7 linked regions of the Callithrix jacchus genome follow. The protein of the gene in region 1 interacts with the protein of each later gene in a pairwise test. Links are inferred from orthologs where the notes say so. Each region holds a gene or a part of one and is shown in the gene's direction. Other genes may lie near its edges.

Region 1 (3,500 bases):
CTAGCAAGGGAGGATGCCTGCTGTCCTGGAGGCGCAAGCCTGGGGCAGGGAGGCCAGGAGAAGGCATCCCCAGTTTCCTGGCAGGCTCAGGAAGGCTGGCAGCTTGTCTCTGCCCTTGTGCTGTTGTCATTGTCAATTGCCACCTCTGCAGCTGACTGTCCTCTTGGGGCCTCCTGGCAGCATACCCACTCCAGCTCTCCACTTCCCTCTGTTCAGTCACTGGACCTTTGCTCTTTCCAGTGGATAGACAGAGCAGTGCCTCCCCTGACCGGGCAGAGGGCCTGTGAGATGATGGGTGTTGGCCAGAGAGCCTCTGGGAACAGAAGTGTCATTGGGCCAAGTGGAAATCATGATTCAATCAGTGTTCTTGGTCACGGGGCCGCCCTGGTCCCCGTTCTCCTTGCGGGCATCACAGCCTCCTCTCCTTGCCCTGCACTCATTGTCCCGACCTCAGGTTCAGTGTCCACCAACATGATTGCTACTTGATTGATTGTCGTTGTGCCCATGCAGACAACTGTCGGAGGAAAATGCTAACCTCCAGGAATATGTTGAGAAGGAAACCCAGGAGAAGAAGAGATTGAGCCGAACCAACGAAGAGCTGCTTTGGAAGCTCCAAACCGGAGACCCAACCAGCCCCATTAAACTCTCGCCCACATCTCCCGTTTACCGCGGCTCCTCCTCGGGGCCCTCCTCTCCGGCCAGAGTCAGCATGACTCCCAGATGACGCCACCACGCGGCCTGCGGGAGCTCCGGCTTCTCGCCCTCCTGTCTCCACCCTGAGGGAGCACTGACCCGGTGCTGCCGGAGCTGGCCCTGCACGCATGCTTCAGTAGCTGCAAATGCATCCAAGGCGCGTCCTCCTCTGATCCCCGTGTAAGACTGCCCTGGTGTCAGCACTTAGGAACGTGTAAACGGTAAAGTCTGATGTGCAAACGTTTTACCATAGTTAGAGCCAAAAGAAAGACACTTGCAATTGTTCTTGAGCAATGAACTTTCACTGCAGTATTTCAGGTTAGTTACCAAAAGCTCAGTTTTCAATATACATTGAATAATCTTTGTGTACTGCACCGGTATGTGTGTATATTTAGATACACATATATACACATGCGGCGGTTCCGAATTGCATTTTTTATGAAGTGCTGACATATTTTAGTGAAGGTCAGCAGTTTTCTAACTTGTGCCTAAGAATTATTGGGAAATGAAAATGCATTTCTATCTAGCTTCCCAGGAATATTTCTACCCAAAATAGAAAAAGGAAAAAAAAAAGGATACAGAGAAGAAGCGCCTTTCAACTCACCACCAAGTGGTACTCTCTTTACACGAACACCAGCGATTTGTGAATGGTAACTGCCTTTGGAACAATCAGCTTCTTAGTCAACGTGATGTGAGGTCACCATTCTTCCATTCGCAAGTTTTAATTATTAATACGCCTGCCATGCGTGGATAAGGGAGAGCCGTGGGAAACCCTAAGGGGGATTAGCAGTTTTTCAGATGTGACTTATGACAGTGACTCATCTCCAATAGTCTTGTAAACAAGTTTTGCTTTTTTCCTAAATGGCATCTCAGACTCGGTCATTAAGCTACTGTTGCACCCCTGGGAAAACATGGCAGAGCATGACGTTTGAGTGAGAGTGAGGATGGCCTTGGAGATGACTGCGCCCGTTCACGCTCCATCCTCATGAAGGAAATTGCTGCTAGGGTCTGTATTTTGACCAGGCACAGAGTGGGACCGTCACGCCAGCTTTCCATGTGGTTCGCTCTGATGCAATGCTGTAAATGATCAACTTGTTGAAATATGACCCTCAGGCCCCCACTTCATAGCAGTCCCCTTTTCAATTTGGTTCTACAGCTCAACCCCTTCACTGCACATTGAGGTGGCTCAGGGGTTCTAGCAGGGGCGTCTGGGAAAAACACCATTTTCTGTCCCGGGGGACCAGTTCTGAGCTGTGCTAGATCATCACACCACCACCCAGAAACCCGCTTGCACTTCCTTCTATGTGATCAGGCAATGCTACCGCTGACTGTGCTGCCATCTTAGACCCAGAAGGTTCTCCCAGACAGAGGAGCGCAGTGAAGCAGCCAGCCAGGCGGCACCACATCCTGGACTGGCACCTGTCTCTAAAATGGTAGAATTAGGATGTAAACAGTACTCATGTAGTGGTGTGGAAGATTAGGAGCATGATACACAAAAGGAAGTAGTTTTAACACATATGGTGATGATGATGATGCCCTTGTTTCCTTGTGTATGACAAAGACCCTGCACTATCTCTCTGAGGCCCCCCAGAATTATCCTGAGCACAGGCCTGTCTTTGAGCATGTCCAAGATGAGAAGAACCATGAGAGGGTCCTACAGGGGCTGGAGCCATGGAGCAGGGAAGAAACAGCCCGAGGATGAGGTCGGCTTGTCCAGGGCACGCCTACTCGGCACATGTGTGGCCAGCACAAAGACAGACATGGTCCCTGGCCCTAGCATGAGTCCAAGCTGGGCTCCCGGGCCTCAGGTACATCTCCAGCAAGCCTCCAAGGGTCTTGTTCCTTCTGGGGACATACACAGTAAATCCACATGGAAGCACCATTTCTCTGCTTTAGTGGCTCTGCATGATACTGTGATATTGAGTTGGGCATTCCATTAGAGTAGATCATGCCACATTGACTAAGTACACAATTATTTATTCTTGTAGCAGCCACAACCTGCAAACACAAATTCGGTTACAGCTTAGCTGTCCGAATTAGGAACTGCTTACATAGCCGCACCTGCTAAATGCAGTTACACAGCAATACCGACTTCCGTGTGATGCTAGGACGTGGTACAGTGTGTTAGGCTGCTGTGGTCGGAGTTGTAGCATTGTTAGCACTAAGTAATTCCTCATTAGGTGGACTTTGCTGAGAGCTTTGCCCTAATCCGCCCTGACCTTGGGTACTTGGGCTAATTTCCACATGGCCCTGGCTTCATTTTCGTTTGTTTTTGTGTTTTGTTTTGTTTTTTTTGTCACGGACACCCATCATGTATGGCCCTTCATCTGAGCCATGGGGTGGCAGCTGCTATGCCTCCTCCTCGATTCTTCCATCCCTCCACGCCATCAGGATTAGGATTTCTCTCCACATGGCATCCGCCTCTGTCCCCTTCCAGGCTGGAGTGACGTTTCCACGTTTGGATGCTGCAGCCTCCGCACCTGCCTCAGACAGACCCACCAGATACCACCGGTCTCTTCGTGGCGTTTGGAGATGCGTGGGCGGCCTGCCCCCACCCCTGCCCCTGGCCACCACATGCTGGGACAAGGTTCTGGTCGAATGTCAGAACAGGTGGGGATGGGGGCGGCCCCAACCGTGATTAGTTGAATGAATGGGGTCACAACATCTTTTTTCCTGCCCCTATGGTTTGTGTTGCATATTTGTGTTTAACTCTAAAGCCTATTAAAGTAAACTCGAGGGACTTTCTGTGATACCTGCTTGATGTAACTGGAGACCTGTCCCTCTCATGCTGGGGATTCCAGGCAGGG
Region 2 (3,500 bases), about 96 Mb from region 1:
TAGGTAGGGCCTTTGCTGGGGGTAGAAATGAGTTTTAAGGCGGTTAGACCCTTGGACTGGCTTTGGGATCAGGGAATGTGCTTGGCTGCTGTTCACATCACTGCCTAAGACGGAGGGAACTTTGATGCGTGTGTGTTTCTTTCTCCTCCCTGGCCTCTGCTTTTTCACTTCCTTGTCAACGCAGAGAACAGCAGTAGCGACCAGAAGCAGGCCTGTAAGAAGCACGAGCTATATGTCAGTTTCCGCGACCTGGGCTGGCAGGTAAGGGGCTGGCTGGGTCTGTCCTGGGCGTGGGGTCTCTGACGTGGGCCTCCCGTGAGGCAGCGGGGCTGTGCTTGGTCCTGTTTCTCATCTATGCCAGTTAAGACTCCTGTATCAAGTGGCCTCGCTAGGGAAGGGGACTTGGGCTAAGGATGCAGGGAGGACTCATGAAATCCAAGAGAAGAAATGTAGTTGAGACTTGAATGTGAACCAGGAACCCAAACACTTTGGACTCTGAACCCCATTCAGAGGTGCTCTGCGTGCACCTCATTCCCATCCCATGACTGGCTGCTTCTCCAGATGAGGCAGGGCTGTGTGTTTGAATCCAGATGCCTGTGGAGCCATCTCCTGCTCTGCCCACTGTTCCCACCTACCCCATTCCCATTCCCAGGGGAGGGATGGATCCCAGCTTGGTACAGGCGCTTGCTCCTGAACCAATCATGTTTTAGGGGTGGGGTCACATTACTGGCACATGACTACCCCCTCTGGAGCCATTTGCATGGAATGAGACAGAGGGCAGGGGATGAATCCTAGGAGAGGAGTGAGTGAATCTACCACCTGGCTGCCATGAGCTCTCATGTGATTCTCATTCAGAAATCAGGCAGCATCTGCAGCGTTCTGGGCCCTGTTCTAGGTACTGGATTGGAGGTACAGTGATGAACGTTGCAATGTGTCTGCCCCGTGGGGCTCAAATATCCCTGGAGAGGGTATTGTCATGAGGTCATCAGGGCAACTGGTGGTGTTCTGCCCTAGGGGAGCTTGTAGGTCAGTGGGAGAGTCCAGCATCTTCCCTGGGACTATGCCCAGACACACTCAGGGTGTGCACACACACATGGCCAGTTCCAAGCCCTCCCATGAGCCTGCCCTTGTGACTGATGACCACATCCACCTCCTGCTGGGACAGAACCTGAGTTATTAGCCTCTCTGGCAGGTGGGCGTACAAGGCATGGAGGTTTGTTTAAGGTAAACTGCCAGTTTGTGGCCACCTAGAGGGAGTGGAGCTGATGATCACCTAACACCGAAGGCCCCTTGCTGTGGTGTCTTCTGTCCAGGAGACACAGCCATGGATGGCCACCTTAGATCGGTCCAGCCCCATGGGGCTTTCCTCATTTTTAGGTTTTTTTTTTTGGAAATGGAGTCTTGCTCTGTCACCCAGGCTGGGGTGCAGTGGTGTGATCATAGCTCACTGCAGCTTCGATCTTCCCACTCAGTCTCCCAAGTAGTTTGCACTACAGGCTTGGGCCATAGCCACTGGTCCTTCTTTCCTTTCTTTTGGGACCATGCAAGGCCACCCATTTTTCCTTCCCCTCCTGGGCCCCTGCTGCTCAGGAAACCTGGTCTGAGCCTTTGACCTCAGGTTGAGGGCCTGGCATGGTGGCTTCTGGCTACATGGCGGTCAGGACTCTGCGGCTCAGGCTTTCTACACGGTTTCCCACACTCTCTTCTCCTCAGGACTGGATCATTGCACCCGAAGGCTACGCCGCCTACTACTGTGAGGGGGAGTGCGCCTTCCCTCTGAACTCCTACATGAATGCCACCAACCACGCCATCGTGCAGACACTGGTGGGTGTCACGCCGTCTTGGGGTGTGGTCACCTGGGCCGGGTGGGCTGTGGGGCCACAGATCCTGCTGCCTCCAAGCTGGGTCCTGAATAGATGAACGCCATGTCACGACGTTCATGACCCCTTGCCCCATTAAAAAAAAAATCAAAAATTGTATTTTATGACTGGTTTGGTATAAAAAGGGGTATAACCTTTGACCCTGAAGGTCATTTATTTCTTCTAATTTTAAAAGTAACTAGAAGTTTTATGGACGCCTTTGAGGATGCTTGTTGTGTTGTGGGCACTGGTTACTGTGCCTAAGAGTATTGGGCCCTGCTTCATTTTCCAGCAGAGGAAACAGGTAAACAGATGAGAAATTTTAGCGAGGGGCAGAGTGATCAGGAGCTGGCCAGCAGGATAATGGGATGGAGAGATGGGTGGGGACCCATGGGGCTATTTCAAGTTAAATTTCAGTGGGGCCACTGGGAAGATTCCATGTGATAATGAGATTCAGGTGCCCAGCACATGGCGACACTCCATAGATGTGATTGCCAGTAGCAACCACAGTGATAAGAGCTAGGGATTCTGTTCTTTGGTTAGAATCCAAGGTTCAGGGACCTTGGTTATATAGCTCCCTGCCATGAACATCATCTAAACCTTTCCTGCCAAGTGATCATCCATCCTGTCTTGAATGCTGCTGGTGACAGAGAGCTCACTACCAGAACCACCCCCTCCTTTCATTCAGTAATCTGCCTCCTTCTTTTCTTGTCCCCGTCCTGTGTGTTGAATCCCGGAGAAAAATCTCATATATTCCTTTCATTTGGTTCTTCCTTTTGAAGGCAAAGTTGTTTGTTTGTTTGTTTGTTCGATTTTTTTAAGTGTTGATTTTCCAAAGCCCTCTCTCACTGGCCATGTTTTGGTGCGTGTTTCAGGTCCACTTCATCAACCCGGAAACAGTGCCCAAGCCCTGCTGTGCGCCCACACAGCTCAATGCCATCTCCGTCCTGTACTTTGATGACAGCTCCAACGTCATCCTGAAGAAATACAGAAACATGGTGGTTCGGGCCTGTGGTTGCCACTAGCCCCTCCGGGAAGTCAGACCCTTTGGGGCCAAGTTTTTCTGGATCCTCCGTTGCTCTCCTCGGCCAGGAACCAGCAGACCAACTGCCTTTTGTGAGACCTTCCCCTCCCTGTACCCAACTTTAAAGGTGTAAGAGTGTTAAGCAATGTGAGCAGCATATGGCTTTTGATCAGTTTGTCGGTGGCAGCATCCAATGAACAAGATCCTACAAGCTGTGCAGGCAAAACCTAACAGGAAAAGAAAAAAATGCACAAAGAGAAATGGCTGGGCCAGGTCATTGGCTGGGAAGTCTCAGCCGTGCACGGACTCGTTTACAGAGGTAATTATGAGGGCCCGCCGGCCAGGCCACCCAGCCGTGGGAGGAAGAGGGCGTGGCAAAGGGTGGGCACATTGGTGTCTGCACAAAAGGAAAATTGACCCGGAAATTCCTGTAATAAATGTCACAATAAAACGAATGAATGAAAATGGTTAGGATGTTACAGATATATTTTCCTAAACAATTTATCCCCATTTTTTGGTTTATTCTGATTAATAAACAGAAGCTGTGTTATGTGGAGGTCGGGGAGGTCCCTCTCCATTCCCTTCAGGTGTCATTCTGAGGCTTGCAGAGGCCCAGT
Region 3 (2,484 bases), on another chromosome or scaffold:
CAGCTAGCCGGGACTACAGGTGCATACCACCACGCCCTGCTAATTTTTGCATTTTTTTGTAGAAACAGGATTTCACCGTGTTGTCCAGCCTGGTCTCAATCTCTTGGGTTCAAGGATCCGCCCTCTTTTGCCTTCCAAAGTGCTCGGATTACAGGTGCTAGCCACTGCACCCAGCCAAACTGGGTTCTTGTAAATGAAAACTGTGCTTCTCCAATGGAAGCCTGATCTCTCCAGGATGTGGTTTTTAAATTTGAAACACTTTTTTTTTTTTAAGTTTCTCTGTCCTATTTTCCAAGCTGTCTGCTTATAAGAACCACAGAGAATTCTGGCAAGCTTGTCCGATCGCTGCTATAGCACAGTGAAATAAACTGAGCGCAAAGCCCAGAGAGAGGCCTTGCCCAAAGTCACACAGCTAACAACCACAGCTTCCCCTCAAGGGGAAGAGGACAGGGAGAGGGAGGCTATGGAAGCAGGTGTCTGGAAGCTCAGAAGCCAGCACTGGCCCCTTTCCCACGGGGGTGGCACAGGAGGATGGGAAGGCCCTGGCTGCACAGGGCTCAGTCCCTCACTTCCCAGCTGCCCAGCTTTGAACAAGTCCCTCAACCCTCCTGAGCCATCAGTAAATTGGTGAATAATGTCCACACTGGCTGACTTCACAAGGAATCCAAGGCCAGAATGGGCATGCAATCGCTTTATGAAGGTGAGGGTGAGAGCATGAATATCAAGCCCTGAGTAAAGATGAGCGGGCTCAAGAGTGGGGATGAACAGTTGTGTCCACGGTTAGCTGCCCAAAAGCCTGTCTCTCCTGCAGGCGTCAGGAGCGACAGCGCTTTGCTGAGTACCAGGCAGAGCTGCAGGGCATCCAGCACAGGGTGCAGGCCCGGCCCTTCCTGTTTCAGCAGGCCATGCAGGTGAGGCTGGCACCTGAGCAAGCACACAGCTGCCCGCTGCGAAGAGCTGGCTGAGTGGGTAGGGAAGCAGCATGGGCGGAGGTCCCTGCAGATAGGATCCCAGGGCTGGGGAGTCCCTGGGGCCCACTCAGTAACCAGAGCCCCAGCTTGCCCTCGGCAGCCTTGGCACAGAGCAGGAAGCCCTTTTCTCTTTCCTCAGGCCAATGCCCGTCTCACTGTCACCCGGCGCTTCTCCCAGGTGCTGTCAGCACTGGGGCTAGATGAGGAGCAGCTGCTGGCTGAGGCAGGAAAGGCGGACACAGTGGGCACCCCCAGAAAACCCAGGTGAGTCCCCCGGCAGGTCAAGAAATGGCTCTGTCATGCTGCTGAGGGATGGGGCGCCCACACCAGCACTCTGGGCTCTGGAGGGCCTCCCCTAGGCCCTGCCCTTCCTGTCACCCAAGGAAGTCTAGGCCAGGGTTGTCATTCCTACTTCTCAATGAGAAAATTAAGGACCTGACAGGCAGGGCCTTGCTTAAGGACACAGGAACGAACAAGCAGCAGAGTCAGTGTGGGACTCTGCAGCCATCCGAGCTGCCGCACACCAAGCCCTCATTAGGGGCTGGCACCACACTGGTTACTCCTCGGATACCTCTCTTATGCCTTCGAATAAACCTGGTATAGAGCAGGGACTATGAAGCCCACTTGACAATCAGGAAAGTGAGACTTGAGAAGAGAGAGTCACTTGCCCAGGACCACACAGCAAGCCAGTATAGGAGCAGGGTTTGAAGCCACATTGTCAGTGGTTTCTTTGGGCATGGGGGTGGCAGCTGAAGAGCCAGGGGGCTCTATCTGTGTCTTGAAGGAGCCACAGGCCAATGAGGGTGAGAATGGAGCACTCTCCTCAGAGCCCCCCAAGGAAAGAACCCACCGGCAGCCAGCCTGGCAGGCACCACACCCCCAGCGTGGACCCGGAGTGCAGTCCCTGAGATAAAAATGAAAGGCTTTATGGCAAACACAGCGTGGGATTTCTGGTGGTGGTGGTGGAGGCTCCAGGTTGGAAGTGAGAGGTGGCAGGTGAGTGGGCAGCAGGCTTAGCTCTGTCCCCACATCCCCCCAGGAGCTCTGGCTCTTTTGGTTCCCCCCACATCCCCCCAGGAGCTCTGGCTCTTTTGGTTCCCCCCACCCAGCACACACAGCCCCTTCTCTCCTCCTGAGGAGTGGGGACATCTCAAAGAGCAAGAACTGTGACTTCTCCACCCCATCCTCAATGTGTATGCTGGGTCCTAGAAATTCAAGCGTGAATAAGATGGAACGACTCCCGCCTCTGAGGATGCCCAGTCAGTGGGAGGGGGGGTGGACCCTCAGAGGGGTGCATACAACATACCCTAACACAGACTGACTGTGCCACACAGGGAGCCACAGTCTTAGTAACCGTTGGGTGGGGGGAGGGGTTTCAGGAGGGAATGTGTGCATTGGTCTTTTTAAGTTCCAGTAGTTTTAAGTTAGGGATCCTCTCCTCAAGAAAAAAAATCATACACACAGATGTGCCATATTTTGCATTCAATTTCAGGGGTTCCACGGACACACTGAC
Region 4 (4,228 bases), about 100 Mb from region 1:
CCCCACCCTACTCCCACTCTCCAACTAGAACCAGGGGAGGATGGTTGTGCTCACTGCTGTTACACCTGGCACCGAGTGACCAAAACAGACAATAGTCCTGCCCTTCGAGTTGTTGTTGGTTGGGGGGAGGGTGCGTAAAGGTGTTCATGGTCTTCCTTCACAGATGGAAACAGGCATGGCGAGACCTGTGGGGTTTATTTCAGCACCACCCCTGGGCCTGGCATGCCTCCAGGGAAGCTGGGGTAGGGGTGCAGCTGCTCCTCACCTGGGCCCACCACACATACATTCAGTCAGGGTCCCTTAGGAGCCGTGAGAGCCTGTAGACAGGATGGGGATCTTCAAAGGGCTCAGGAGACACACCGGCCTCATCCCAACTCTTTGCCGGCCTACGGGGATCTTTTTCAAGGAAACTCTAACCAGGTACCTCCTCAGCTGAAAATCCTTCGGTGGCTCCCCAGTGCCCTTGAGGCAAAGTCCAGATTCCTCACATCTGACCCCTCCGGGCCTGCCCACCCCACCCCATCCCTGGGAGCTGCTCTCCAGGAGTTACTCGGAAGCAGTTGCCAGTTCTTCCCTCGGGCCTTTCCCCTTGATAATTCTTCACTTCCTCTGGGCAGTCACCCCGACCCCCTGTCAGGTGACCCGCCTCTTAACGGTCGCCGCGTCCCGTCTCTCCCCCACCAAAGCACACTTCCCTTTGCATTGTAATTGTCTGTTTACTTCAGCTGTCTCCCCCATTGGACGGGTAGCTAAACTTCGAGAGAGGCTCTGAGTGTCCTGTCCAGGGCTGTGCCCCGGCCCCAGGTACAGTGCCCCACACGTGCTGGACGCTCCGTAAACACTGGCTAAGGGAAGGAACGGGCGCACTTCGCTAGGCTGCTTTGCAAAAAAGCCATGGCATTTCATGCTGCCAAGAGCCACGTGTAGTGTCCGTTTCCTCGCATCCTCCCCAGCAATATGCATTTCCCTCCTCAATGCCACGCTCTCCAGGCGCCAGCCGGGCGGAGGAAATTTCCGCCCCCTCCCAAGCCCGAGGCGGGGGCGGGCTTCGGAAGGTCAGGTGTCCCGGCCCGCGCGCAGCGCCAGGGGGCGTCAGAAGCGCTCCGACCGTGGGGCGCTGAGCGGGTGGGTGCGAGGGGTCCCGCCTCGCAGGGGCCTAAATGCGCCCGATGTCCCGCCCCGGACAGCCCCAGCACTGGGAACGACCAGCGCTGCGCTCCCGAACCCCGCCTTGCAGGAGCCTCCGCCCGGGCTCCCAGCGCCACGCGGCGCGAGCCGGGTCCGCCCCCGGCGCACCTGCTCGAGGCGTGGCCTTCGGCGGAGACGTGCCTCCGATTGGTGCTGAGGTGACAAAGGGGCGAGGCAGATAAGACCCCTCCCCTGCCGCCCCCTGGAGTATTTAAGGGAGTTGGCGGCGCGGGTGCACTCATTGCGCCGCGGCACGGCCTAAGCGGTGGTTCTCCTGCGCTACTTCTGAGCGACTCGGCGACCCCGGTGCGTTGGCCACCATGCCGCGCTCTTTTCTTGTCAGGAAGCCCTCCGACCCCAATCGGAAGCCTAACTACAGCGAGCTGCAGGACTCTAATCCAGGTGCGTTGGAGGGGTCCCGGGCTCCAGGAGATTTGGGGGAGACAGGCGAAGGCTGCGTGGGGGGCACCTGAAGGAGGCGGCCTGCTTGGGCCAGGATCGATTCGCAGGATGTTTTGTGGAGCATTGAGGGCTCGGGCTCGGGAGACCGGGCAGGTAGGTCTCCAGTCCCAGGGATCTATCTGAGTGGTTTGGGGGGTGCCGTGTAGCGGGCAGGGGTCTTGCGCTTGGGGGGCCTTTGTAGCCTGCGAGAGGCGCAGGAGCTCCCGAGGGGAAGGAGGCCTGTGCCAGGAGGGCCCGCCGGACGCTGCTGGGGAGAGTCCGGAGTCCAGAGTGTTGAGGAGAGGGGTGGAGAGACCAGATGTGTGTGAGGAGGGGGACTGGGGTGGAGTGGTGGCTCGGGGGCTGGGGTAATGGGCTTCTGGCTTCAGGCTGGGGACTTGGGACTCAGGAGACCGAGATCTGGAAATGACCCTCTTCAACTGGGGGTCCTACCTGTGAGAGACTCAGGTTGGGTGACCTGGGCGAGGAGGGCAGGAATTTGGTCTGCCCTATGGATAATTTTATTGATCTAATTATGTGTTGAGAGTCAGCCTCACCCAGCCCCTGGCCAGCGGTGGGCTCTAGTTTGTTGATTGAGTGAATGATTTAATTAACGCCTGACTCTGCTCTTTCTCCCTCAGAGTTTACTTTCCAGCAGCCCTATGACCAGGCCCACCTGCTGGCAGCCATCCCACCTCCGGAGATCCTCAACCCCACGGCCTCGCTGCCAACGCTCATCTGGGACTCTGTCCTGGCCCCCCAAGCCCAGCCAACTGCCTGGGCCTCCCTTCGGGCCCAGGAGAGCCCCAGGGCGGCAGAGCTGACCTCCCTGTCAGATGAGGACAGCGGGAAAGGCTCCCAGCCCCCCAGCCCACCCTCACCGGCTTCTTCGTCCTTCTCTTCCACTTCGGCCTCTTCCTTGGAGGCCGAGGCCTATGCTGTCTTCCCAGGCTTGGTCCAAGTGCCCAAGCAGCTGGCCCAGCTCTCTGAGGCCAAGGATCTCCAGTCTCGAAAGGCCTTCAACTGCAAATACTGCAACAAGGAATACCTCAGCCTGGGTGCCCTGAAGATGCACATCCGAAGCCACACGCTGCCCTGCGTCTGTGGCACCTGTGGGAAGGCCTTCTCTAGGCCCTGGCTGCTGCAAGGCCACGTCCGGACCCACACTGGTAAGTGCCCCTCCTGGCCCGCCCCACTGCTTTCTCTGCCAGCTTTTGTGAATCTGGGCTTACTTTTCTCATTCTCAAAGTTGTAGACACGGAGGCCCCGAGTCTCCTAACTTCTAACTCAAGTTCAGGGGCCCGGCTCTCTGGAAACGTTTGGCAGAAATGTTCCTTCATCAGCTAAGCAGATGGGCAAAGCAGACACCTTTCCAATCCCCTGCAGCCAGCTTCTCAGCCAAATGGGTAGGAGCTGGATATGGGAAAGGTGCCACCAGCACCTTGTGGTGGTGGCCAGGTGCGAAGGGGTCCGCCTGGCCCCACCCTCTCCTGATCCACCCCTCCCTAGCCAGACAGGATGTTGTCAGACCCCCCCCCCACCTGGCTCTGAATCCTGCTTTGAGAACTTTCTCAAAGCTTGGTCTGATGTTTCACTTCTGTGAGCCTCATTTTCCCTATCTTTCAGATGGGCATGAGAACAGCCTATGGGGTTTCTATGCAGGCTAAATGCAGGAATGCGTATGGGAAGCACCTGGCAAAGTGCCTGGTACCTGCTAAATGCTCACAAAAATGCTTCCTTGCCGTTTGCTCGGCTTCCCTGCTGTGTGACTTTGGGCAAGCAACTTAACCTCTCTGAGCCTCAGGGGAGGATTATGATAGGTAAGTTTTAGAGAGTGACTGTGAAGGTTGATAATCACTTTATGCTAATCACTTTGCAGTAATTTATCATACCTGGTGGTTCTCTGGTCTGCTTCCCCACCCCCACTCAGTCCTATCTGGCAGACCAGGAAAGGCATCTTTGGGGCAGACAGCGCAATCATGTCTTGGTGTCTTGAAAATTTACTAAATGCGTAGGAAACTTTCTGGACGTGGAGAAAAGGTAGAACTTTTTAGAACTTGAATGGTGGTGACCACCATGCCCAGAGCTGCTCTGGAGAGTGACGGTTGAGAGAGGAGATTCCAGGGGTTCACCCCGGGCAGGTTCTGCCATTTCCTGACCCAGCACCTGACCTCGGAGTGGTGAGGGTCAGTGCGGTGTCTGGAAGGCCTGGCCTTTTGCAGGCTTTATTGGCATCTTACTCAACTAAGGCTACCCATTTCTCTTCCTTTGTGCACCCTTAGCCCTGATTTTAACATGTAAAGGTCCAACTGCCTGGCCTTCTGGGTGCCTGCCTAGCTCACAGGGCTCTATTTTGGGAGCGTTGAACCCCTCAGGGTGCTGCTCTGCTGTCCCCCCTCCCTTGCCCCCAATCCGGCATTATTTTAATGTAAAGGCACGGCTGGGACACAGAAATGTATCACTGCTGTCCTCATTGACTCCCATTGTGTGCCTTAATGGTGGGCCCAGTGGGTGGGGGCTGGGAGGAGCAGAGCAGGTGCATGGGGCAGCGGTGCCCAGCACCTGTTCCAGTCGCAGCTGCTGGCCCAGTGCATGGCAG
Region 5 (3,964 bases), on another chromosome or scaffold:
CTGAGGGCTTTGGTCCCTCCTGCTGTGGGGGGCTCATCAGGCCCCTCCTGCTCTCTGCCTCTCCTCATTTATCTCTCCCTCTCTGCTTCTTGGCTCTGGGGTCCAGTCCTATCTCCCCTGCTTCAGTTCGTCTTTTCTTAACCCTCTGCGTGCTCTCTGTGTCTCTGCTTGTCTCACTGTCTCTGGCTGGGGATCTTTCTCTCACTTCCACTTTTGCTCTATTTCCCTGCTACCGCCTTCCTTCTCTCCGTGTCTCTCTGTTCTCTTCCCCTCAGCCTGCATCTCCCTGTCTCTCCCTTTCTCTCCTGCTCACTCACTCCCTCCTCTCCAGCACCTTCCAATACCAGGTCAGGCTGCCGTTCCTTCCACCTTCCCAGTGACCTGCCAGTGTGACTGCCTTGAGAGGAAAGTCCGAAACTGTCTCCATCGTCACCAACCTGCCCTCAAATCGTTGGTTCAAACAGCTCCTGAGAAGTTCGGGAGCTCCGAGGGTGGGCGCTTTCTAACAGCCCTGCCATACTCACAGCACAGAGAGCAGCCATAGACAACCTCTCTGCACCTACTGATGCCTCCGTGCCTGCTTCCACTGAGGCTTGGCTGGTGGGACTGGGGGCTTTGGGACATCCCTAACATGGCATGCAGTGGTCGTGCAGGAGGCCCTGACTGTGCCTCTGGAGCCCTGGGCTCAGAAACTCCAGGCCAGTCTCTCTCTGGGTTGGGATGGGGATGTCAGGCCAGCAGGATCATGGTGCCTGCCTCCAGGGAGGGCAGCGTCCACCCACCGAGTCCAGCCTACCCACTCCACCCACTCGAGTTCCTGGCTCTACCCTCAGGAACCCCCTGAGCTTTGCACACAGGGTGGAGACACCTGGATTTCTCTGGTCCCCTGAGTGAGGCCAGTTTGGAGGAATTTCCCAAAGCCTGTTAGAGCAACGGCCGCCTCCTGCCTGCCTCCTTGGGCTGGGCAGGGCTGAGGGCGGAGGGAGAGGGGGGGGGAGAGGAGGAAGGAAAAAGTTGGCAGGCCGACAGCAGAGCCGAGTCTGCATCCATCCAGAGGAGGCCCGTGCGGTGTGGGGCGGGCCAGGAGTGAAGAGAGGCCTTCCTCCCTTTGTGCTCCCCCCGCCCCCCCGCCCCTATAAATAGGCCCAGCCCAGGCTGTGGCTCAGCTCTCAGAGGGAGTTGAGCACCCAGCAGCGGTCTCAGGCCAAAGCCCCCTGCCAGCATGGCCAGCGAGTTCAAGAAGAAGCTCTTCTGGAGGGCAGTAGTGGCTGAGTTCCTGGCCATGACCCTCTTTATCTTCATCAGCATCGGTTCTGCCCTGGGCTTCAAATACCCAGTGGGGAACAACCAGACGGCAGTCCAGGACAATGTGAAGGTGTCGCTGGCCTTCGGACTGAGCATCGCCACGTTGGCGCAGAGCGTGGGCCACATCAGCGGTGCCCACCTCAACCCAGCCGTCACGCTGGGGCTGCTGCTCAGCTGCCAGATCAGCATTCTCCGTGCCCTCATGTACATCATTGCCCAGTGCGTGGGGGCCATCGTCGCCACCGCCATCCTCTCCGGCATCACCTCCTCCTTGCCTGGGAACTCGCTTGGCCGCAATGACGTGAGTGGGGTGTCCCCGGGCTCGGGGTGTTCTAGCATGATGCTGAAAGGCACTGGTTCCATCCTTGGCCCATTGTGCAGATGGGGACACTGAGGAATGGAGAGAACAAGAGGTGGCTGGAGGTCACGAAGAGAGCTGGGGCTAGAACTCAGCTATGCATGCCTCCCAGAGCCTGTTTTCCGCCAGGCACTGTGGGAAGCTGAGAGCCAGGGAATAATGGTCTTGCCAATGTCCCCTGCAGGGCATTTATTATGGGGAATAAGCTTGGCCAGCCGTTCCTCGCCCCTTGGCTGTAGCTTTTTGGCCCTTCTCAGTCCTGCCTGTGCCGCCAGCTCCCTCCTCCTGCAGCCCTGCACCCTGGGGAAGCTTTGCCCACCATCCCTAGCCACCCTGAACCTGATGCCCAGCCTGTCTGCAGCTGGTTCTGCAAGTGTATGAGCAGGACTCCCTCAGGGAGCCCCCAGGCCTCTGGGGAGCCCCCCATATTCACACAGGTTTCCAAACACACCACCTCTAGGAATTAAGAGAAGAGCTCTCTTCCACTCCTCTGCTCCAGGGAATTAGACAAAGATAAGGGAGTGAAAACACTTTCTGGGGCTGTTTGGAAGTGGTTTTCCTGGATTACAGTGTGGGCTGGGGGGCAAGTGCTGGGCTCCAGGCACTGACAGGTGTGGCGTGTGTGTGTGTCTGTGTTTGTGTTTGTGTGTGTCTGTGTTTGTGTGGGTGTGCATGTGTGCATGTGTTTGCCAGCATGGGTCTCTGAGCTTGTGTAAACTGTGCGCATGTTTGTGCACCCGTGTAAGGGTGTGTGGGGGTGTTTGTAACCACACGTGCCCATGGCTCCTGGCCTGAATGGGGTCTGGACTGGGGTCACTAATGACAAGCAGATGCTGGTGACTGGGTGGCAGCTGTGGAAGAGAATGTCTCCTGAGCTGCTTAGCACGGCTAATAGGCCACTGGTGGCAGCTGCCTGCTATCTCAGACCTGAGTTTTTCCAGCTCCTCAGACAAGTGCAAACTCAGGCCGGGCTTGGGCCATAGCAGGGGTGATTTGGCCTGGAGACTGAGGAAGGCTTGGAGGATGTCTCTGAGAGCCCAAGGGGTAGGTGAGCAGGCTTGGGGGTGCCCTCATGGGGAGGGAGGGAGGCTAAGAAGTAGAGAGGAGGACTCATCTAGAGAGAGGAGGCTGGCGGGGCTGTGGGCAGGGCAGGCAGGTGTGGGGATGGTGTGAGCCATCTCTGAGGGTGCCACAGAGATGGCAGGAGTGATTATAGCAGCTGTCCTCTCTCTTCCTAGCCAAAGTTCAGATTCTGGGGCTGGCAGCCAGCAGGAGGCTAGGTAAAGGTCTGGTGCAGAGGGCAGCTGGCTCAGCCCGGCCACGGGGGGCTTAGCACTTTTGTGTCATGGTGACAGCTTGCCCAGCTTCCTCTGCAGCCAATCTCTGCTCAGCCCAAGATTGAAGATTAGCTCCCTGGGCTGGAGTTTAGACTTTTGCCAGTTTAGACATGGCTACAGGGGATGTAAGGGACAGAGCTCAGGCAGGCCACGTCAAGTTCTGCCCCCCAGGCCTCAGTTTCCAGTGGAGGCAGAGCTTGTGGCCTCAGGGAGTTCCAATGGGTAGGGTCAAGCTCACACTGAGGCTTGGCTGGGCATCATGGGCTGGGGAAGGGTCCCCATGGGGGAGGGGTTGCAATTCCCAGGCTTTCTGGCCCCATCTCTTCCCTCCCATCTCACAGGGCAGTACCTCTGCACCTGCTGGCAAAAGCTCCACGCTCCAGTATGGGCATCTGAGGCAGAGGCAGGAGGGTGGGCCCCATCTGTGCCATCTGGATCAGGGGCCACACCCAACTCCCGTGCCCCATGTCCTCCCTGGCCTCCGTTTTTTATAGTAACCCCAATACTTGGGCTGGGCATGTTGCAAATGGGAGAAAAAGAGGAGCAGCCTAGTGTGGGGGCCAGCCTTGGGCTGGGAGGCACACACCTGGATTCAAGACGTGTCTGTAGCTAACCTGTTGAGCTTCCTTGGAGCTGCGGACCCTGAACCTGGAGAGGGGACCTAGGTCTTGTGACATCTCACAGCCACACCCATACAGCCAGCTCACTTCATTGCTTTGCACTTATCACCCATCCCAGGGAAGCTGGGTAAGAGCAGCCAAGCAGGGCCAGTGCTGAACCTCAGGGCACTACGAATTGCAGTGGGGGCTCAGGCGCTGCCCTGTCCCGACAGGAAGGATGGGGTTCTGCAGCTCAACTCTGGGCCTAGAAACAGAAATGTGCCCCCCGAGGGCTCCCATCAGACACTGGCCCTGGAACTGGAGGGGGCTCAGGGGTGGCCCGGATGCCTTAAAAGGGACAGGGG
Region 6 (4,300 bases), on another chromosome or scaffold:
ATCCTCCATCATGTATTCTTCCACTAATATTGCTCTAGACCCAGGGGGGAAACTGAGGAGCAGGACAGACCAGGCCCTGGCCTTTGTGGAACTGCCATTCCAGGCAGAGGAGACAATCGACACAGAAGTCATATCATTTTGTCACTGATGAGTGCTGCGACAAAGTAATAAACAGAGAGCCTGGGAACTACTGTGCAGAAGGTGTCAGAGAAAGCTTCTCTGAGGAGCCTGAGAGATAAAAAGGAGAGAATCATGCAAATATCAAAATATGAAATATGAGGAGCAGAGGGGAAGTTGGGGAGGAAACATCCCACGCAGAAAGAGTAGCAAGTGCAAAGGCCCTGGGAAGGGGAAAGGTGCTGTGACCCAGAAGCTGCCAGGGAGAGGGAGGAGAAGGAACTGAGGTCCTAGCAAGGCCATTTGTCAGACCTTGTGGACCTGGGGGCTTTTGTTCTGTTGGCAAGGCTGGACAGAATGCCTAATTCTTGACCCTCCAGCTACGGTTCCATGAGGCATCTGTGTGTGTGCCAGGCACCGCGCTAGAGGAAAGGAAAGAGTGGCAAGGTTTCCCGACCCGCCCACCTCTGGGGAAAGGGCGTTGTGCTTAGTGAACTGGTTAGCCGGGACTTTCCAGTGGGCAATGGACTTATCATTTGTGTTCTTAACAGCAGCACCTAACTTCGCTGAGGAATTGTTCGCTAGATGCTCTGCTTACCCTCACAGCCCCAGGCAGTGGGGGCAACTGTTACCCACCTTTAGTGAAGCGACAGATTATAAAACAGGGAGTGATGGCCAAACACAGTGGCTCACATTTGTAATCCCAGCACTTTGCGAGGCCAAGGCAGGCAGATCGTGAGGTCAGGAGTTCAAGACCAGCCTGGCCAATATGGTGAAACCTCGTTTCTACTAAAAATACAAAAACCAACTGGGTTTGGTGGCACACACCTGTATTCCCAGCTACTCGGGATGCTGAGGCAGGAGAATCACTTAAACCTGGGAGGCGGAGGTTGCAGTGAGCCGAGATTGTGCCACTACACTCCAGCCTGGGTGACAGAGTGAGACTCCATCTCAAAAACAAACAAACAAACAAACAAACAAACAGGGAGTGACATGCTCTGATTTATGCTTACACAAAATGATAGCTTCAGCTGCACACACACACCTTACTTCATTTAGCCATGTGCAGTGGGAGTGCTTATCACATACGCTCGTGCGCGCGCACACACACACACACACACACCCCGTGCCCCCAAGGCCACACAGCTGTCAGGGGCAGAGCCACAGTTCAAGCCTAAGGTTTTTTCAGGCTTAACCTCTGCTACAAGCTGGCATCACAGAGAAGGAAGGGGCTGGCAAATGAGGAGGAGGGTGATTGCCGGGGGCACTTTGAGAACTTGGCCCCAGGCCTGGAATCCAGCCTTCAGCTATTTTCTTGGCCTGAGCCCAGACCAGCTGACCTCCAGCCCTCCCAGGCAGCCTGCTGCCCAGGCGTCTGCTCTCAGAGTTCCTGCTGTGGGAGAGCCCCAGACCCCAAGAGTCTTCAAAGGTCTATTATTAATGGGGCTGTCCAGCCGAGGCTGACATCCCCACGCAGCCGTCCCAGAGCTCTGCACCTCAGCCAGCCCTCGGCCTTCCCTGTCTGGCCCTGTCTGCTGAGCAGTGCCTAGCAAGGGCCAGCCAGAGGTCACCCGCCGCACCTGAGCTACCGGTGTGTGATGAGAGGACTGCCTCGCGTCTTCCCCCCTTTCCCAGCTGCCTTAGTTTCCCTTCCTGAGAGACGCAGCGTTCTGGGAGGTGAGGAGCTGCAGGGACCCAAGAAAGGCATGGGAGCCGCCTGGGGACACTGGCCCCTCTGTCAGGATCAATCGCCCTAAGCCTGTCTGAGGCGCTCTGGGCTTAGGAGCAGCTGTGAAAGCCGCCTTTGTGCCGGGGAGAATGAGCCACAAGAGGACAGGGGGCCCTGGCCCCGGGAGCCCCTCAGGTCCTGGCTCCTGAGATCCACGCCAGCAGGAAGGACCCCAGCCTGGTCCCTGCAGCCCACCCAGGCCTGGTGCCACCTCGTGCCATGGGAGCAGCCCAGGGGAAGAAGGTAGGAGCCCCCAAGCGTCCTGTTGGGGCCCCGGACACGGGAAGGGAAACTGAACCCAGCAAGTGGGAGCCCTGACCCACCTACCCGGGAGCTTCAGCTGGCACTGCCCACCAATCTTCTTCCTGGCACTCACAGCCAAGATGTGCAGCTAGAAAACTGGTGGGGGCTCAGGGCAAAACCAGCATCCTAATCTCTCCATCTCTAGGACAGACTTGGGGACAGCCGAACCTCTCTGGCTCCCTGGTATTAGCCACACACATCTCTACTTCCCTGAGTAAAAGCTCCCAGGGTACCCCTTCCCCACACCCCAGGAGAGTGTCTGATGCAGGTGGATACAGGGGAAAGATCTTAAAATTATTATGATTATGATTATGAGTTGGCTAACCAGCTGTTACCAGTTGTAGGGCAATGGGCAAGTTATTTAAGCTTTCTGTACCTCATTTCCTCACCTGTAAAATAGGGCCAATAATAATCACTACCTTGGAAAATCGTTGTGAAAATTATATGAATGAAAGCGTTTAGAACGCTGCCTGGCACTGTGTAGAGGCTCTGCTCCTTTGTTAGTAGAATTCTATTCATGCTATTATCCCTCACCTCCTATGCCTGAGCTCTCAGCTGGGGGTTTGTAGACAGCACTGCCTGAGCAGTGTTTCTGGAAATGCACCCCTTGGACCCCTGCATCAGCATTGTGGGGCGGGGAGGAGCAGGGAGCTTGGAAAACAGTCGCTTTCTCGGGGCCCGTCAGACCTCCTGGATCAGTGGGGGCAAAGAGGGGAGGGGCCTGCATGTACTCACCAGCTCTGGGGATTGTGGGATTGTGGCACAGGAGCTCACTGCTCTCCACCCACAGCCCAGTACTGCCACCCCGGGGCGTGGTCAGGCTGCGAAGTCCCAGCTCCACCACCCACCTACTGTGGCGAGGACCTGAACCCCTCTGGACCTCAGCTTCTTGTCTGTAAAATGGGGCTGGTACCTGCTTTGTGGGAGGTTCAGTAAGGTGTTGCTTGTGAATGCTTAGTGCAGTGCGCTACCTGACACCCAGAGGGTCCCCAATAAACAGGGGACTCTGACCTTCAGACAACCAGGGATGACCTATTCCATCAACGCTGAGACACTCAGGGAAGAAGTCATTTCCTAGCCAGGGTCATGCAGCTAGTGGGGGAAAGAGCAGGGTGGTGGTGGTGTTAATTTGGAAAGGGGAGCTTTATTTCTCATAAAGATTACAGCCTGCAGGGTGGCCATTCCAACAGGCCGGGAAACATGGCCTCTGGCCAGAAGCCAGAGACTGATACTTTGAGGAAGAGGCAAAGGGAATTGAAATGTATGCTGAGCACCGTGGCCAAATATACATATTCAATAAGCTGTGGGGGAGTCATGTGTATTTATGAAAGGAGAAACATGTGCATGCACAGCTGAGCTTCATGCCTCTTATGGGCCCCGTGTACAAAAAAGTGTTGGCCTTAGTGTGATCGGAGGGTGGAATTTTCAGCCCTCTGACATCAAAGGGGAAGCAGGGGGCATGAAAACCCTCACTGTGCATCCTCTGCAGACTGGCTAGAACCGCTCCATGACTGGTGGTCTCTTATCAAGAAAGAATGCTGGTGGGTTTTTGTGTCAAAACCGTAAAAGGGTGGAGCAGTTGGTTGAAATCAGCATGGAGTCTTTTGAAAAGGCCGGCTTCTGTTTAGCTCTTAGGGAAGAAAGTCTAGTGGAGGTTATCAAGGAACAGGGCACCACAGGGTGCATGCAACCTCCCATCCTGCCATGGCCAGAAACTCACTTTTCAAGATTTCTCTGGGGTCCCCTTGGTCAAGAGGGGGTCCGTTCAGTCACTTGCGGGGGTTAAAGTTTTATTTTTCTTTCTCATTTTTCTTGGGAAGGATTTTGACCCCACTCTGCTTGATGCCAAACAAGCCAGCCCATCCCACCCTTCCTGGTCCATAGCCCTGTCCACGGCATCTTGATCAACCCCCACCTCAACCTCCCATAGGAGGCTGTTGACCGGGCACCTGCTGCCCTGTGCCAGGGTCTGTGTGAAGCTGGAGCCAAGGATGAGGAGACACAGTCCCTGACCTTGAGCCCATCCCTGTCAATCGCAGAGACTGACAGGCAAGCAAGTAGGAGTATGTGTGACAGTTGAAGCAGAGGGGACCGGGCACATGACCCCTGGGCCAAGAGTCAAAACACAACGTTGTTGTGTCTATTCCTCTT
Region 7 (3,500 bases), on another chromosome or scaffold:
ATATGGAACTATCTCCAGGATATATTGTTAATTGCAAAAAGTAAATTGTAGAACAGTGCTTATAGTAGGTTACTTTTTATGTAGGAGAGAGGTATAACTAATGAATTATGTGTATGTATGTATATACCTATTTGCTTATATTTTCAAAAAAGAAACAATGAAACCATAAGCCAAAACCTAATAAAAATGATTATTTATGGGGAGTGAAAGGAATGGGATAAAGAGGACAGAAATGGAAGTGAGACTTCTGTGAAGGTATTGTATAACAGTTTTACTTTAGATCCATGTAAATATTTTGCATCATTTAAAAGTTTAATTAAAAAGGTAAAAATCAATCCCTAAAATTCAAAAACAACCTGAAGCAAATTAGCCTAATGATAAAGTTAGTAACATAATCCACACAATTGGAAAACAAAAGAAAACAATTACTTATACTGACTTTAAAACAACATTTGTATATTTCCAGTGGGGTCCATATTCTAAGGGCAAAAGTAACTGCAAAGAAATATAAAACTATATTCAGCAGTTTTATTGGTGATAGTATTGTTACTGACATTTTAAAATTCTATAAGTATATTGTAGGAAGAAGATAATAAATCATTTTGCTAATATTATTTTAAGCATGTGAGAGGAAATACAACTCTAAAATGAAGGAGTTTAAGTAAAAACCTTGTTATCTCAAATTTGAGTTGGAAATACCAATATAAACTCATGATTTACTTTTCCCTTTCAAAATGTCCCTCTTGCTCAGCAAACTAACACAGGAACAGAAAATCAAACACTGCATGTTCTCACTCATGAATGGAAGGTGAACAGTGAGAACACATGGACACAGGGAGGGGAACATCACACACTGGGGCCTATGGAGGGAAAGGGAAGAGACAGCATTAGGACAAATACCTAATGCATGTGGGGCTTAAAACCTAGATGATGGGTTGATAGGTGCAGCAAACCACCATGCCACATGTATACGTATGTAACAAACCAGCATGTTCAGCACATGTATCCTCAAACTTAAAGTAAAATTTTTTTAAATTAAAAAATAAAATAAAACCATTCCGGTGTATCATTTAAAAAAATGTCCTAGCTTTTGACCACTGAAAAGGCCTGGAAACAATAACTCAGAAGTTGCTTCTGTACACACCAGCAACACAGTATGGTTTCTAAATATCACTTCCTACTAAAAGGAACCAAGGGTCCTCACAAAAATATTCCAGGTTTGAGTTAGGAAGTGTGCAAGATGAGTTTAGGATATTTGGCTATGCCAGAAAGCTGGGAAGCAATACAGGAGCCAATTTGAAGGGTTTCCCAATGGTCCTAAGTGGAATAATAATACATTTTATTAGCACAGATAAAATATATGAAAATACACTCTTTTATTACTATACTAAAAATAACCATTGGTCACCATTGGACATTTCTTTCCCTCCCCTCCCCTCCCCTCCCCCCGCTTCCCTCTTCCGTGAGACGGAGTCTTGCTCTGTCGCCTAGGCTGGAGTGCAGTGGCACACTGCAACCTCTGTCTCCTGAGTTCAAGCAATTCTCCTGCCTCTGCCTCCTGTGTAGCTGGGACTACAGGCACCCGCCACCACACCTGGCTAATTTTTATATTTTTAGTAGAAACGGAGTTTCACCATTTGGCCAGGCTGGTCTTGAACTCCTGACCTTGTGACCTGCCCTTCTCAACCTCTCCAAGTGCTGGGATTACAGGCATGAGCCACCGCGCCCAGCCACCATTGGACATTTCTAAGGTGTCAACTTTTACTCTCATAATTGATAAATAATGGCAAAGAATCAAGCATTTATCCTGCCTTTCCCATATGATCTACATTTAGGGAAACGACATAGTTGATGACGGTAAGTTCACCATAGAATTCCAGATAATAAACACAAAAGAAATAATAGAATTAGGAAAGCCACAATTTGCAACTCTTAATAAATTAATATAGGTAATGGTCATCAATGGATGTAAAAAACCCATTAGGTAGAAGGTGAATGGGAAAATTTAATAATGGGGGCATGGGACTAATATCACCTAGCACCTCAATCCATTGATGAATTTCAGCATCACTACAAATGGGACCACCAAACATTATGTGCCTTATGATATGATACAATAGGAAGTACATATCTATCTATAAGGAATCTAACCTGTGGATCAGCACCACCCAATGTAACTTTCTGATATGATGTAATAGTTTTTATCTGTTTTGTCCAATATGGTATCCACTAGCCACATGTGACTATGGAGCACTTTAAATTTGTTAAGTTCGACTGAGGTACTGATATTTAAAAATTAATTTAAATAGACACATGTGACCAGTGGCTACTATATTAGGTAGCATAGTTATAGATTAACTGCCAGTAAATAGAATGGATTAAGGAACAAGTTAACAGCATCAGAAAATGATTAACCAAATTCATTTGTTCATAGAACAAATGTAGTTTATTTAATCAATGGAGGAGAGATAAAATAAAATAGAGGGGTGGGAGAGAAGAGGCACTGTTTTAGAATAAAACAATCTTAAGAAATATAACAGCCAGAGGCAGGTTTAGATTCTGAATTGAATAACCAAGTATAAAAAAAAACTTTGACATAATCAGGACAATTTGAACATGACATTGGTATTAGATGATACTAAGGAATTATTAATTTTGTGAAGCATAATGCTATATGGCTTATATATTTTAAATGTCCTTATCAATTAGAGGTACATGTATTTGCATGACCCTAGGTGCCTCACTTGCCTCACCGTAGTTCTGGCCTATAGTTGTGCTTGAAATAAACTATCATAAGATAGCTATATACCATTGTCATTTGTCACGGGTTGTAAAGACCTGCCCCAGCAGTGTTTCTTTATCTGAGGTCCAGGATTTAATTTTTATTAATTTGTCAAAGGTTGTATTGGTAGGCTTTGTGGAACTTCCCTATCTCTTTGTCTTCATCCAGATGAACCCCAAAAGAAGAACAAAGGTGATCCCATGAACAACCTGGAAAGTTTTTACCAAGAGATGATAATGAAAAAACGTCTTGAAGAGTTCCAACTTATGAGAGGTGAACCCTTTCCTTCCCACTCACTGGTCTCAGCTCCATCAGTGGGTGATAGTGGCACAGCTGAGAACCCATCATTACTCGAGGACAAGGGAAAACAGGCAGCACAGGGTAAAGGTCCCAGTCTCCATGTGGCAAAAGTTATTGATTTTTCACCTGAGCAGTGTTGGACTGGGCCTAAGAAGCTGACGCAGCCAATAGAATTTGTCCCAGAAGATGAAATCCAGAGAAATCGTTTGTCAGAGGAAGAGATCCGAAAAATTCCTATGTTTTCTTCATATAATCCAGGGGAACCAAACAAGGTATAGGCCAAACCAAGTAAAACAGCCTGGGTTGATTTCACTTTTATTTACCTCTACCTAAAGTAATCCTTTTAAATTAGCTTTGATGATACCAAAGAATCATGATATAGGCACAGTGATTGTGTTTGTCCTTGACCTTGACTATT

The links.
Region 2: the proteins of MTUS2 (region 1) and BMP7 interact in a two-hybrid assay, tested with the Homo sapiens proteins (3 studies listed by BioGRID and IntAct). The two-hybrid records come from large-scale screens. The link is inferred for Callithrix jacchus from reciprocal best matches to the Homo sapiens genes MTUS2 and BMP7.
Region 3: the proteins of MTUS2 (region 1) and TSGA10IP interact in binary tests that used the Homo sapiens proteins (3 or more experiments, as listed by UniProt). The two-hybrid records come from large-scale screens. The link is inferred for Callithrix jacchus from reciprocal best matches to the Homo sapiens genes MTUS2 and TSGA10IP.
Region 4: the proteins of MTUS2 (region 1) and SNAI1 interact in binary tests that used the Homo sapiens proteins (3 or more experiments, as listed by UniProt). The two-hybrid records come from large-scale screens. The link is inferred for Callithrix jacchus from reciprocal best matches to the Homo sapiens genes MTUS2 and SNAI1.
Region 5: the proteins of MTUS2 (region 1) and AQP1 interact in binary tests that used the Homo sapiens proteins (3 or more experiments, as listed by UniProt). The two-hybrid records come from large-scale screens. The link is inferred for Callithrix jacchus from reciprocal best matches to the Homo sapiens genes MTUS2 and AQP1.
Region 6: the proteins of MTUS2 (region 1) and FAM107A interact in binary tests that used the Homo sapiens proteins (3 or more experiments, as listed by UniProt). The link is inferred for Callithrix jacchus from reciprocal best matches to the Homo sapiens genes MTUS2 and FAM107A.
Region 7: the proteins of MTUS2 (region 1) and RBM41 interact in binary tests that used the Homo sapiens proteins (3 or more experiments, as listed by UniProt). The link is inferred for Callithrix jacchus from reciprocal best matches to the Homo sapiens genes MTUS2 and RBM41.

Annotation. Positions count from the first base shown.
Region 1 is NC_133506.1:148,710,559-148,714,058, forward strand, and holds the end of MTUS2 (microtubule-associated tumor suppressor candidate 2), read left to right. Parts: intron 1-510; coding exon 511-724; 3' UTR 725-3,433; downstream 3,434-3,500. UniProt on the Homo sapiens protein: Binds microtubules. Together with MAPRE1 may target the microtubule depolymerase KIF2C to the plus-end of microtubules. May regulate the dynamics of microtubules at their growing distal tip.
Region 2 is NC_133506.1:52,758,689-52,762,188, reverse strand, and holds part of BMP7 (bone morphogenetic protein 7), read left to right. Parts: intron 1-184; coding exon 185-261; intron 262-1,713; coding exon 1,714-1,824; intron 1,825-2,734; coding exon 2,735-2,884; 3' UTR 2,885-3,500. UniProt on the Homo sapiens protein: Growth factor of the TGF-beta superfamily that plays important role in various biological processes, including embryogenesis, hematopoiesis, neurogenesis and skeletal morphogenesis.
Region 3 is NC_133511.1:123,035,891-123,038,374, forward strand, and holds the end of TSGA10IP (testis-specific protein 10-interacting protein), read left to right. Parts: intron 1-811; coding exon 812-911; intron 912-1,110; coding exon 1,111-1,235; intron 1,236-1,755; coding exon 1,756-1,879; 3' UTR 1,880-1,984; downstream 1,985-2,484.
Region 4 is NC_133506.1:45,525,138-45,529,365, forward strand, and holds the start of SNAI1 (zinc finger protein SNAI1), read left to right. Parts: upstream 1-1,428; 5' UTR 1,429-1,508; coding exon 1,509-1,590; intron 1,591-2,270; coding exon 2,271-2,798; intron 2,799-2,878; exon of another isoform or gene 2,879-3,449; intron 3,450-4,228. UniProt on the Homo sapiens protein: Involved in induction of the epithelial to mesenchymal transition (EMT), formation and maintenance of embryonic mesoderm, growth arrest, survival and cell migration.
Region 5 is NC_133512.1:27,327,539-27,331,502, reverse strand, and holds the start of AQP1 (aquaporin-1), read left to right. Parts: upstream 1-1,164; 5' UTR 1,165-1,222; coding exon 1,223-1,606; intron 1,607-3,964. UniProt on the Homo sapiens protein: Forms a water channel that facilitates the transport of water across cell membranes, playing a crucial role in water homeostasis in various tissues.
Region 6 is NC_133516.1:40,405,224-40,409,523, reverse strand, and holds the start of FAM107A (actin-associated protein FAM107A), read left to right. Parts: upstream 1-1,500; 5' UTR 1,501-2,065; coding exon 2,066-2,089; intron 2,090-4,300. UniProt on the Homo sapiens protein: Stress-inducible actin-binding protein that plays a role in synaptic and cognitive functions by modulating actin filamentous (F-actin) dynamics. Mediates polymerization of globular actin to F-actin. Also binds to, stabilizes and bundles F-actin.
Region 7 is NC_133524.1:103,648,382-103,651,881, reverse strand, and holds part of RBM41 (RNA-binding protein 41), read left to right. Parts: intron 1-2,950; coding exon 2,951-3,354; intron 3,355-3,500. UniProt on the Homo sapiens protein: May bind RNA.